Linked DNA regions of Schizosaccharomyces pombe. The protein of the gene in region 1 purifies or fractionates together with the protein of each later gene. This does not show direct contact. Each region holds a gene or a part of one and is shown in the gene's direction. Other genes may lie near its edges.

What was found. Proteins that work in one complex are often made in the same cells at the same time.
Region 2: the proteins of btb1 (region 1) and rbx1 purify together in Schizosaccharomyces pombe (affinity purification with western blotting, with the first as the bait; one study listed by BioGRID). This does not show direct contact.

The regions. Positions count from the first base shown.
Region 1 is NC_003421.2:129,762-136,068, forward strand, and holds btb1 (BTB/POZ family ubiquitin-type ligase substrate adaptor Btb1), read left to right. Parts: upstream 1-1,633; 5' UTR 1,634-1,755; coding exon 1,756-5,799; downstream 5,800-6,307. Other genes in the region: mRNA 5'-cap (guanine-N7-)-methyltransferase Pcm1, read left to right, coding at 170-1,252; sdh3 (succinate dehydrogenase cytochrome B subunit), read right to left, coding at 6,196-6,307. UniProt on the Schizosaccharomyces pombe protein: Probable substrate-specific adapter of an E3 ubiquitin-protein ligase complex which mediates the ubiquitination and subsequent proteasomal degradation of target proteins.
Region 2 is NC_003424.3:1,573,483-1,576,852, forward strand, and holds rbx1 (SCF complex, Cul4-RING and CLRC ubiquitin ligase ligase E3 subunit Rbx1), read left to right. Parts: upstream 1-1,862; 5' UTR 1,863-1,927; coding exon 1,928-2,002; exon of another isoform or gene 2,003-2,190; coding exon 2,191-2,340; exon of another isoform or gene 2,341-2,403; coding exon 2,404-2,494; exon of another isoform or gene 2,495-2,518; intron 2,519-2,538; coding exon 2,539-2,546; 3' UTR 2,547-2,825; downstream 2,826-3,370. UniProt on the Schizosaccharomyces pombe protein: Component of E3 ubiquitin ligase SCF complexes, which mediate the ubiquitination and subsequent proteasomal degradation of target proteins.

The DNA.
Region 1 (6,307 bases):
ATATGTTTTTGATCTTTTTTAAAGAAGTTTCTGTTTTTTGAATTATTTTGAAGAAAATTATTTGTATGTAAGTTTGTGATCGATGGATAGTCATCATATGATGGAAAGATCGTTAACCTTTGAAAGAAACTATTCTCATTTATTTATAATAATATTTATAATAAGAGATATGAGCAGCTCGAACTCCCGAGTGCATGAGGAACAGCCTCCAACAGAAAATCGCAGATATGCGAGACCTACTGCACAAATGAATCGAGTAATTGAACAACAACCAAGGCGTCGCGATTACTTCCAAAACAATGACAACTCTGGTCGCAGAGGTTATAATAGGCATGAAAACAATGGTAATGCGCAGGATGTGGTACGTTCACACTATAACGCGCGTCCTGATTTGGGTTATAAAAAACGACAATTTTCTCCTATTATTCAACTAAAGAGGTTTAACAACTGGATCAAATCTGTTCTCATACAAAAATTCGCACCCCATGCTTCTGATTATCCTATTTTGGTACTAGACATGGGATGTGGAAAAGGTGGTGATTTAATTAAATGGGACAAAGCTGGCATTGATGGATATATTGGGATTGACATAGCTGAAGTTTCCGTAAATCAGGCCAAGAAGAGATACCGTGAAATGCATGCTTCTTTTGATGCACTATTCTACGCTGGCGACTGTTTTTCTAGCTCAATTAACGAATTACTTCCCCCAGACCAAAGAAAATTTGACGTTGTTTCTCTACAGTTTTGCATGCATTATGCATTTGAAAGCGAAGAAAAGGTTAGGGTCTTGTTGGGGAACGTTTCTAAATGCCTTCCTCGTGGTGGAGTAATGATAGGAACGATTCCCAATTCCGATGTAATTGTCAAACATATTAAAATGCTTAAACCAGGAGAAAAAGAATGGGGAAATGACATATACAAAGTCAGATTTCCTGAATCACCTCCACGCTCTTTTCGACCTCCGTATGGAATTCAATATTATTTTTATTTAGAGGATGCTGTTACCGATGTTCCTGAATATGTAGTTCCTTTTGAAGCCTTTCGTGCTGTTGCCGAAGGATACAATCTTGAATTAATATGGGTAAAACCTTTTTTGGACATCTTAAATGAAGAGAAAAACTCTGAAACGTATGGACCCCTAATGGATCGAATGAAAGTCGTTGATAATGAAGGACACCGTGGAATTGGTGGACAGGAAAAAGAAGCAGCAGGATTTTATTTAGCATTTGCCTTTGAGAAGAGGGGAATTTAGTCTTTTCTTTCCTTATCCCACTGATTCACTGTGCAGACCGCATTGTAGAAAGATCTTTCACGCTCGAAAGATCAGTACAGTGGTAGAAAAAAAGATGACTTTAAAAGATGTAGATTAATTTTTGATGGCAATGACTTTTATTTATTTATTCATTTTTATGCCTTTATTCTTTCTTTTTCTGTTTTCATATATTTTATACATAAGTAACATGCTCTCTTTCATTCCAGCTTAAGCGAATAAATAAAGTATGCTCCCAGGCATATTTCATCAAATCAGATTGCCCCAAAAATTGCCTCAAATATTAAGCGATAGCTTAAATCAATGCACCTGTCGGTATTCAACTACCAGCATCCACTGCTACTCTTCTTCCATTTTTTCTTCAGCAACAGTCAAGTTAAAAAACTGGAACGTTTTAATTGATTTGAGAGAAAATTTCTTATGGAGTAATCGATTGATTAAATGATAAATTCACATTGCGCCCTTTTTTAGTCTCGATTGATTAAATGAGTCATCTGCTTTTCGCGTATTACCTTTGCAACGACATTCGCTCATTCCAAAATCTACTGAAGCAAGATGATTCAAAGGTGAAAGAGCCTAGAAAGGGTTTTTCGGAAAAGAGCGGACAAAAACTCCGTATCAACCAAAAAGATCGATACGGACGCACCGTGCTGCACATCGCCGTTTCTGAGAATAAAAATTCCTTTGTTAGATCTCTTTTGCAGCATAAAGGCATTGATGTTTTTGTGCAAGATGAAGAATCTGGATATACGGCGTTGCATCGGGCAATCTACGTTGGCAACTTGGAAGCAGCGTCTTTGCTTTTATCAAAAGATCCCTCCTTCAGATCATTGCGTATTAAAGACAAAGAAGGTCTTTCTCCATTTCAATTTTTATCACGAGTCCTTTCAAGCACTATTCATCCGGTTCTTGACTTACCGATAATAGGAAATGAACTTTATGGCTTTGGTACTAACGTAAACAATACGCTCGGAATAGCAAATGGGAAAGAACCTTCATCGCCAGAAAGAGTGTTTTTACTGAAAAACCAAACAGAGTCTCCCACATCAGGTCAACTCTTTTCCCGAGACAAAATCCTTGATGTGCAGGCTTCCAAATTTCACAGCGTCGTACTAACGGATGAGCCGTCGCAAAATGTTTACGTATGTGGTATTGGTGCTGGAGGGAGAATAGGTTTTAACACGGACGTTCAATATAACTTTATTCCTATTCCTGGTATCATTCATAAAGTTATCCAGATTTCTGTTAGTCATACCCATTCACTTGCTCTTACAAAGTTCGGAAGTATTTATTCGTGGGGAAAGAATGGTTCTGGTGAACTGGGACTTTCTAATGACGAACTGAAAAAGGATGATCCAATTCAAATTACCCCTAGGCGTATCTCTGCATTCAAGGATTATCAGATAATTGGAATGGCGGCTGGAAAAAGTTATAGCGTTGCTTGGACTGACACTGATATTTACAGCTGGGGGTTAAATAATGGCCAATTAGGTATATCTGATCATATTTCAGTTGTTTCTACTCCAAGGAGAGTTGCTGGCTTATTATCGCCTGTCATACATGCCGTTTGTACTACTCGTGCTACGATATGCCTTTTACAAAACAACAGTATAATTGCCTTTTGCAATTATAATCAAGTGAAATTGCCATTCAACGTTGACTTTGGTAGTTCGTTAAAGGTAACTAAGCATCCTCTTTCCCTCACCAGATTTAACGTTAGAAAATTATTAGCTTCAGAAAACAAACTAGCCGTGCTTACAGAACTAGGCGAAGTCTATGAATTTGATATGAAGCTTTTACTTGATCGTGATTCTACCTCTTCCAAGAATTCCACACGAACTTCATTCAAATTTACTCCATTATGGATTTTTGAATCTTCAGACCTTGCAGCTTTAGATATTGCGTGGACCGCTGATAATTCTTTAATACTATGTACTAGAAATGGCACTTGTTGGAAACGGGAGTTAAGGTCAAAAAAGCGAGAAAAGTCATCTAGTAGCCCGTATTCTAGAGGACCATACAAATATAATAGAATTGAAAATTTACAAATGGTTGTTGGAGTCCGTGCGAGCGCTTCTGGATCATTTTTTGCAATTCGAAATGATTATCTTCCACCGCCAATCTACAAGCCTTCGAATATGTTAATTGATCTTTTGCGCTCACTACTTCCCTATGACCACCTTTTACATGTAAGACAACCACGTTTGATTCCTCCCGAAGATGAAGACGGAGTCCCTATTTTTGACGAAGACCGCGCTGCATCCAGCAATGAGATGCAGCTACTTTTTGAAGGATCTATACCGATTCTTACTAGTTATGAAAATTATAAGCAATCATTTTCTGATGTTACTATTTATTGTGGTACTTCTATGTTCCACTCACATAAGTTCATATTGTGTGCTCGATCTTCATTTTTGAGAAAATTATTGCTACAAAAAAAGAAATCGAGTGTCTCCAACATCATTTACATTGAAGAAATCACTCAATCTCATTCAACAATTAGAGTTGAAGATATTCCTCCTTTAGCGGTTGCTATTCTTTTGCATTATTTGTACACGGATACATTGCTTTCTCCATGGCATCTTGATTCACGCTTTTCACCTTTAAAAGAAAACCTTTCAAAACTTGCAAACTTACTGGAGTTACCTCATTTAGCGGAGGTTTTACCGTTTAGTGTTTCCCGCCAACCTTTGCTTTCTTTAACGAATGACATTCTGCAACTATATAATAATTTTTATGTCTTATGCGAAGAAACAATGGATACAGTAATAAAGCTTAAAGATGGAGAGCTCAAGGCACATGGTCTTTTTTTAAGTCTCCGCAGTGAATACTTTAGTTCTTATTTCCAATTTGTTTCTATGGAAAGCAATAGTTTTGACATCCCAATAACCGTCAATTTGTCTCATTTGACTGTTGAGCATATGTCAATTGTTCTTCGTCATGTATACAGTGACTTAAAAGTTGAGCTTTTTGACGATTTGAAAGAATCCGATTTTCATAATTGGTTGGAAACTATGTTCGAAATTTTGTCTATTGCAGACGAGCTTCTTTTTCTTGAACTAAAAAGCATAGCCCAGCAATCCTTACTTCGCTTTTTAAATTTGAAAACTCTACCTACTCTAATGGATCTTTCACTTAGTTATCACGCTGAGGAGCTTTATTCACGATGTATTGATTATGCTTGTCACAATATTGAATTCTTTTTGGAAGCAAATCGTATAAGTGAATGGGATGGTTTCCATTTAAAAAAAGTCGCTCAACGTTTAACTGAATTGCTTTCTGATCAACGAGTACATCTTCCTTCTAGCAAGATTGCTAATAGATTATTGATAAGAGATCCAGTGTTGATGGAAAAAAGAAATTATGAGCTTAAAGTTCTCAGAGAATACTTGTTTTCCCAGGAAAGTTCTCAATTATGGGACGATTCCCCTTATCGGTCTATTTTTGAAGATCGTCGATGCAGCACTTCAGCAGTAATTTTAGAATCTGGAATTGTTCCTTCAAGTAATCAAAGTGATTCATTAAATAAGGAAGATGCTGAGGAGAAGTCTCCTAAACCAAATGTTGTTAACGTTACGAGCATTACAAAGACAGCAGGAGCTTCTGTTGAAATTCAAAACAATATAGAGTCTGCTTCGTCAGGAGGGGATAAAACACAATTAAATGGTCCTGGGGCTGATCAACCTGTTACTGCAACAATTACTTTTGACAAAACGAGTCCATGGAGGAATAGGGAAAATCTTTCTCATAATAACAACACTACTAGAGCTAGTCTTAGAGAATTGCTGGAGCAAGAGAAAGCTGATGCTTCAACTACTACGGTTTTGTCTGATTCTAGATTTATGAAAGCTCCAACTAAAAAATCCCAACGTGAGAAAAAAAAGGAGCTTTCAAAGCAAGTGCCTATTTCCAAAACAAATGTTGGCCACATCGATATCGAGTTGGGTAAATCGAATCACTCAAACCCTTGGTCTGTAGCAACACATCAGAGGGGCAGTTTTTCGTCATCAACTGGAGTGAAAAAGTCATTTAATGGTATTCTTAGAGAGGCAGCTCGAGAGGAAGGTTCATCTCAAGTAATTTATCAAGAATCGAAGAAGCGCATTTCCAATGGTTCTCCAACTAGTTGGAACCTACTTACTAAACCATCTCCCCGATCTGCTTCTTTACCAAAAAATAGCCAACCTTTATCGATTTCGGAGATTATGACTGAGCAGAAAGAAGAAATTGAGAGTCAAAAGAGGAGATCATCTTTTAGAAAAACAATTGAGGAGATACAACAGGAAGAGGAGTTTCAAAAGTGGTGGGAGGAGGAGAGTTTGAGAGTACAGAAAGAACTTGGAATCCTTAAAACTGAAAGAGATACCTCTACGAATAGAAAACAGGGACAAGCTTCTAAACAACCTCAACGAAGGCACAGAAAGGAAAAAGATTCCAAAGTGTCAGAGTCCACTGCGGAGTTTAAATCTCTTCCTATTGATATACCAAGGACTACTCACAAGAAAGGAAAAGCACGTGCAGTCAAATGACCATAACAACGACTATATACAAAAAATTCAGGACATTAATTTATTCAACTTATGAAGAGATACTTTAATAGATATGTATAAGAAAAAATATTTGCTACATGGTGAATTATTTATTAAGCTTTTGTTTCACGATACCAATCACACATTTTACATACGCTAAAAATTCAATATTTGAAAATAATAAAATTGAATAGGAAACTTTGGTCATAAAGAAATTCAAAGCACGTACGGAATGAATACAAGAATTCGATATACACGGTAATTTATAGTGTATCAAGGACAGATCCAATTGTAGTGGAAAAATTATAGGAGAAATGATGCTGCTTCGTAAATTCACTAGAGAAACCGTGACAAGCAATTACAAAACGAGCAAAGATAAGGTTTGTTTCCATTCACCTAAATCATCGCAAAATAGCCAGAGGTCAAAACGGAAAGGGCAAGAACAGCATAACCGGTACGATAGACACCCTTTAGACTTAACTCCTTGGTGGTATCCCAGATCAAGTGA
Region 2 (3,370 bases), on another chromosome or scaffold:
TTTTTTTTATTTATTTAAAATTTCGTATCCTTGCATACAGGCTATATTTATTTACTTATTCAATTTTATTTTGTTTGCTCTTTTGGCATTTGACGGGGATATATATTTTAGAGAATTGAGTATTTTTACAAAAAAAAAAAAGACAAAATTAATGACAGAGCGATGTAAATAAGTAAAAGTACATTAGCATTTTTTCCTCAAATTCAAGATCCGTAGGCTATGATCTCTTCATGTTGCAAAATGTTTGTAGACAGGCTCCAAACTTTTAAAAAACTACTTATTCCAAAACATGCTTGCCTCAACGAAGTATCGCTACCGTTCTCTTTCGTTTTACTAACAAGTTCAATTTGTTTCTTGTTTTTGTATTAGTCGATTTTTAATATGCACAGGCTTGCATAAAGATAGTTAATTATAAATTTCATTTGTTTGATTTTAAGCTTAGCATTTCATTCAGCTCGACTTCAAGCTGACAATCCCCAATGCAAATATCCTTGCGTCTCGTTAGGCAGGTTACATTTCCAATAGTTTGAACGTAGCTTCCGCGTTATTATACTTTGCCAGTTTTAGTGCATTGTATAGCTACACAGTATTTTGGTTTTAAACTTAGCGAGATATCTCAAAACCCCTTGGCATGCTCTTAGCACGGTACTTAGCTGTAGATCCTTTTAAAATTTGCTAACAGATGTAAACTTGAAAACCAGATTTTTCGGCTTAATATATTCCATCTATCATTTAAATCTCTTTGATGATAACTTTCAAAAATTGAAGGAAATCCGATGTTGACGATGAAATCACTGTAGATACGAATGTTTACTCAACGAAATTACCATACAATTTGATGCCGATCATTTTAAAGACATTTTTAGCAAAATATAAGCAGTCAAACTAGTAGAAATTTTTACAAAAAAAAGCCATATACGAGGTTTGTTTAGTACAAATGACTATACGATCGCAATAATATAGTAATCAAATGAGCCACAGGAGGCAGCAGCTGTGTATAATCGGAAATTAAAATCCTAGTAAAGATACACCCGATCTATAGAAATGATATTCTTGTGTTCATTATTTTTCAAGTTTTGTAAACTATTATTAATTTTGCATACTAGCAAAGACCATTTACAACAAATAGTGCAACCTACTTTTGAAAACTTTTGTAATCAGAAGACGAATATGCTGGACTAAAATAAACATTAACTGCATCTTGTTCTACGATTGTTATATTGAGATGGTTTATTTATTAATTGTATGGATAAAGCTTTTTTCAATCAGTCTTGAATTTCAGAGTCAATACAAGTTAAAAATAAATCAATTTTGGAATTAACTTCCCTTGTATATTTCACTTCCAAGGTATTTATATTTGGATGAAATACAATAATAAAAAATAGCTCTATTACTTCAGAAAAATTCGCTGAATGTGTTCAATTTGATATGCTAGAGAAGGTACAATATTATAGATAAATAGGGCTATTTACTAATTTTGGTTGAAACGTTTGTAGGAAACCGTCTTCAGTACTTCGATATTATATACAAAACTTATTCAATAGATGTCTAACGAGCACACATAATACAAATAATATCTAAGAAACTTGTATTGTCATCATGTAACATAGAATTAAAAGTTTACACATTTAAACAAACTGAGTAATTTAATGTAGCTAAATAGATATAGTGCTAAACACTCATGAAACAGCAGATGAATAATCATCCTTCATTTTTTGAGTACGCATTTTGCGATTGAAAGATCCATGATCCATTATTTATTATATTAAATACTTGTGTTTTAGCAAAATTTATTACATTACTCCAAAAATTATCTTATGTTTGAGTATTGCTTAGCGAAGCTGCAATTTTCAACCCCCTTTATCACACCGCTTAAACATCTCATCTTAAAACGAAGTAGCGGCTTTGCTCTATTTTACTCATCACAATGGAAGATGAAATGCAAATAGACAAGAAGGAGGTGGAAATTGAACAAAAACCTCCTCGATTTGAAATTAAAAAGGTTCGTCATTATTTTTATGATCATGTTCTTCATGTGTATCAAATTTGCCATAAAGCAAAGTAAACTGTGAAAATTAATACCCAAAGATATATTTGCTATTTTAAAATAAGCATACACTTAAGTACTAGTTTACTCTCTTTGCTTTTTTTATGAGTTCTTCTGATTCATATTGCTTACCTTCAATTTAGTGGAATGCTGTAGCATTATGGCAATGGGACATTGTTGTAGATAACTGTGCTATCTGCAGAAATCATATTATGGACTTATGTATTGAGTGTCAAGCTAACACCGATTCTGCTGCTGCTCAAGAGTGCACAGTGGCATGGGGAACTTGTAATGTAAGTTTTAATTCGATTTCTTTCGTATTCTTAGCTCAGGACTGTTTTTAACAAATACAAAAGCATGCATTTCACTTTCACTGCATCTCAAGATGGTTAAACACTAGGAATGTTTGTCCTTTGGACAATCGTGAATGGGAGTTCCAACGTTATGGTAGGGTATATTAAGACGAGCCTACTTTACTAACTTTATCTCAGGTCATTAATAACATTTATTAAGTACTTACTTTTTTGTTGGTAAAAATATTTCAATGGAGCAGAGCGTTTTATTAATGAAATGACATGAATCAATTAAAATTTCCTAAAATCATGACTACTTGTGGCTAGTTTAAGTTTCCATGTGACTTTGAATTGTTATTTATATTTATTTACTCCAATTACTCAGATAGTGGACGAATATATCAATTTATTTTATTGCTTGTCAAATAAAATTTCCTACAGACAGTTTTTAACTACACATCATATAAATTAAGACATTATATCACTACTTTGTATACACTTGAAGAATTAGAACATTACTTAAATCATCAAAAGAAATGGCATACTTCTAAAGTGCTATTGTTAAAATTGAATAGGCATACAGACATTATGCTGCATATCGCATGACAGAATGCGAATCATTGCTTTCGAGAAGAATGTCAGTGGTGAGATACAAAAGCTCAGTAGTGCACGGATTTTCTATACTTGCCAATCAATTCACAAATTCAGTTAACTTTTAAATAAGAACAAACAGCTTTATGAAAATTACCATCTGATGTTTAAAACCTTCAGTTTATCAGACTTGGTGTTTTCGTTAATAGTGGGTAGGCATAAAAAGATTCGTGGTACTTTGACTCTTTATTCGCCTAATACTAATGTTTCTGTCGCCTTCGTCACTTCCCACTATAGAGAGACCTACATTCATCTGACTTTTTAAGTGATACTAAAAAGTCGGATACTTTTTATATAAAGACTGTAAAAAGCATCCCTATGTGATTGAATGTGTATATATCCATCTCTTTAAAGGTTTGATAGGGTAGGGTCATTTCAG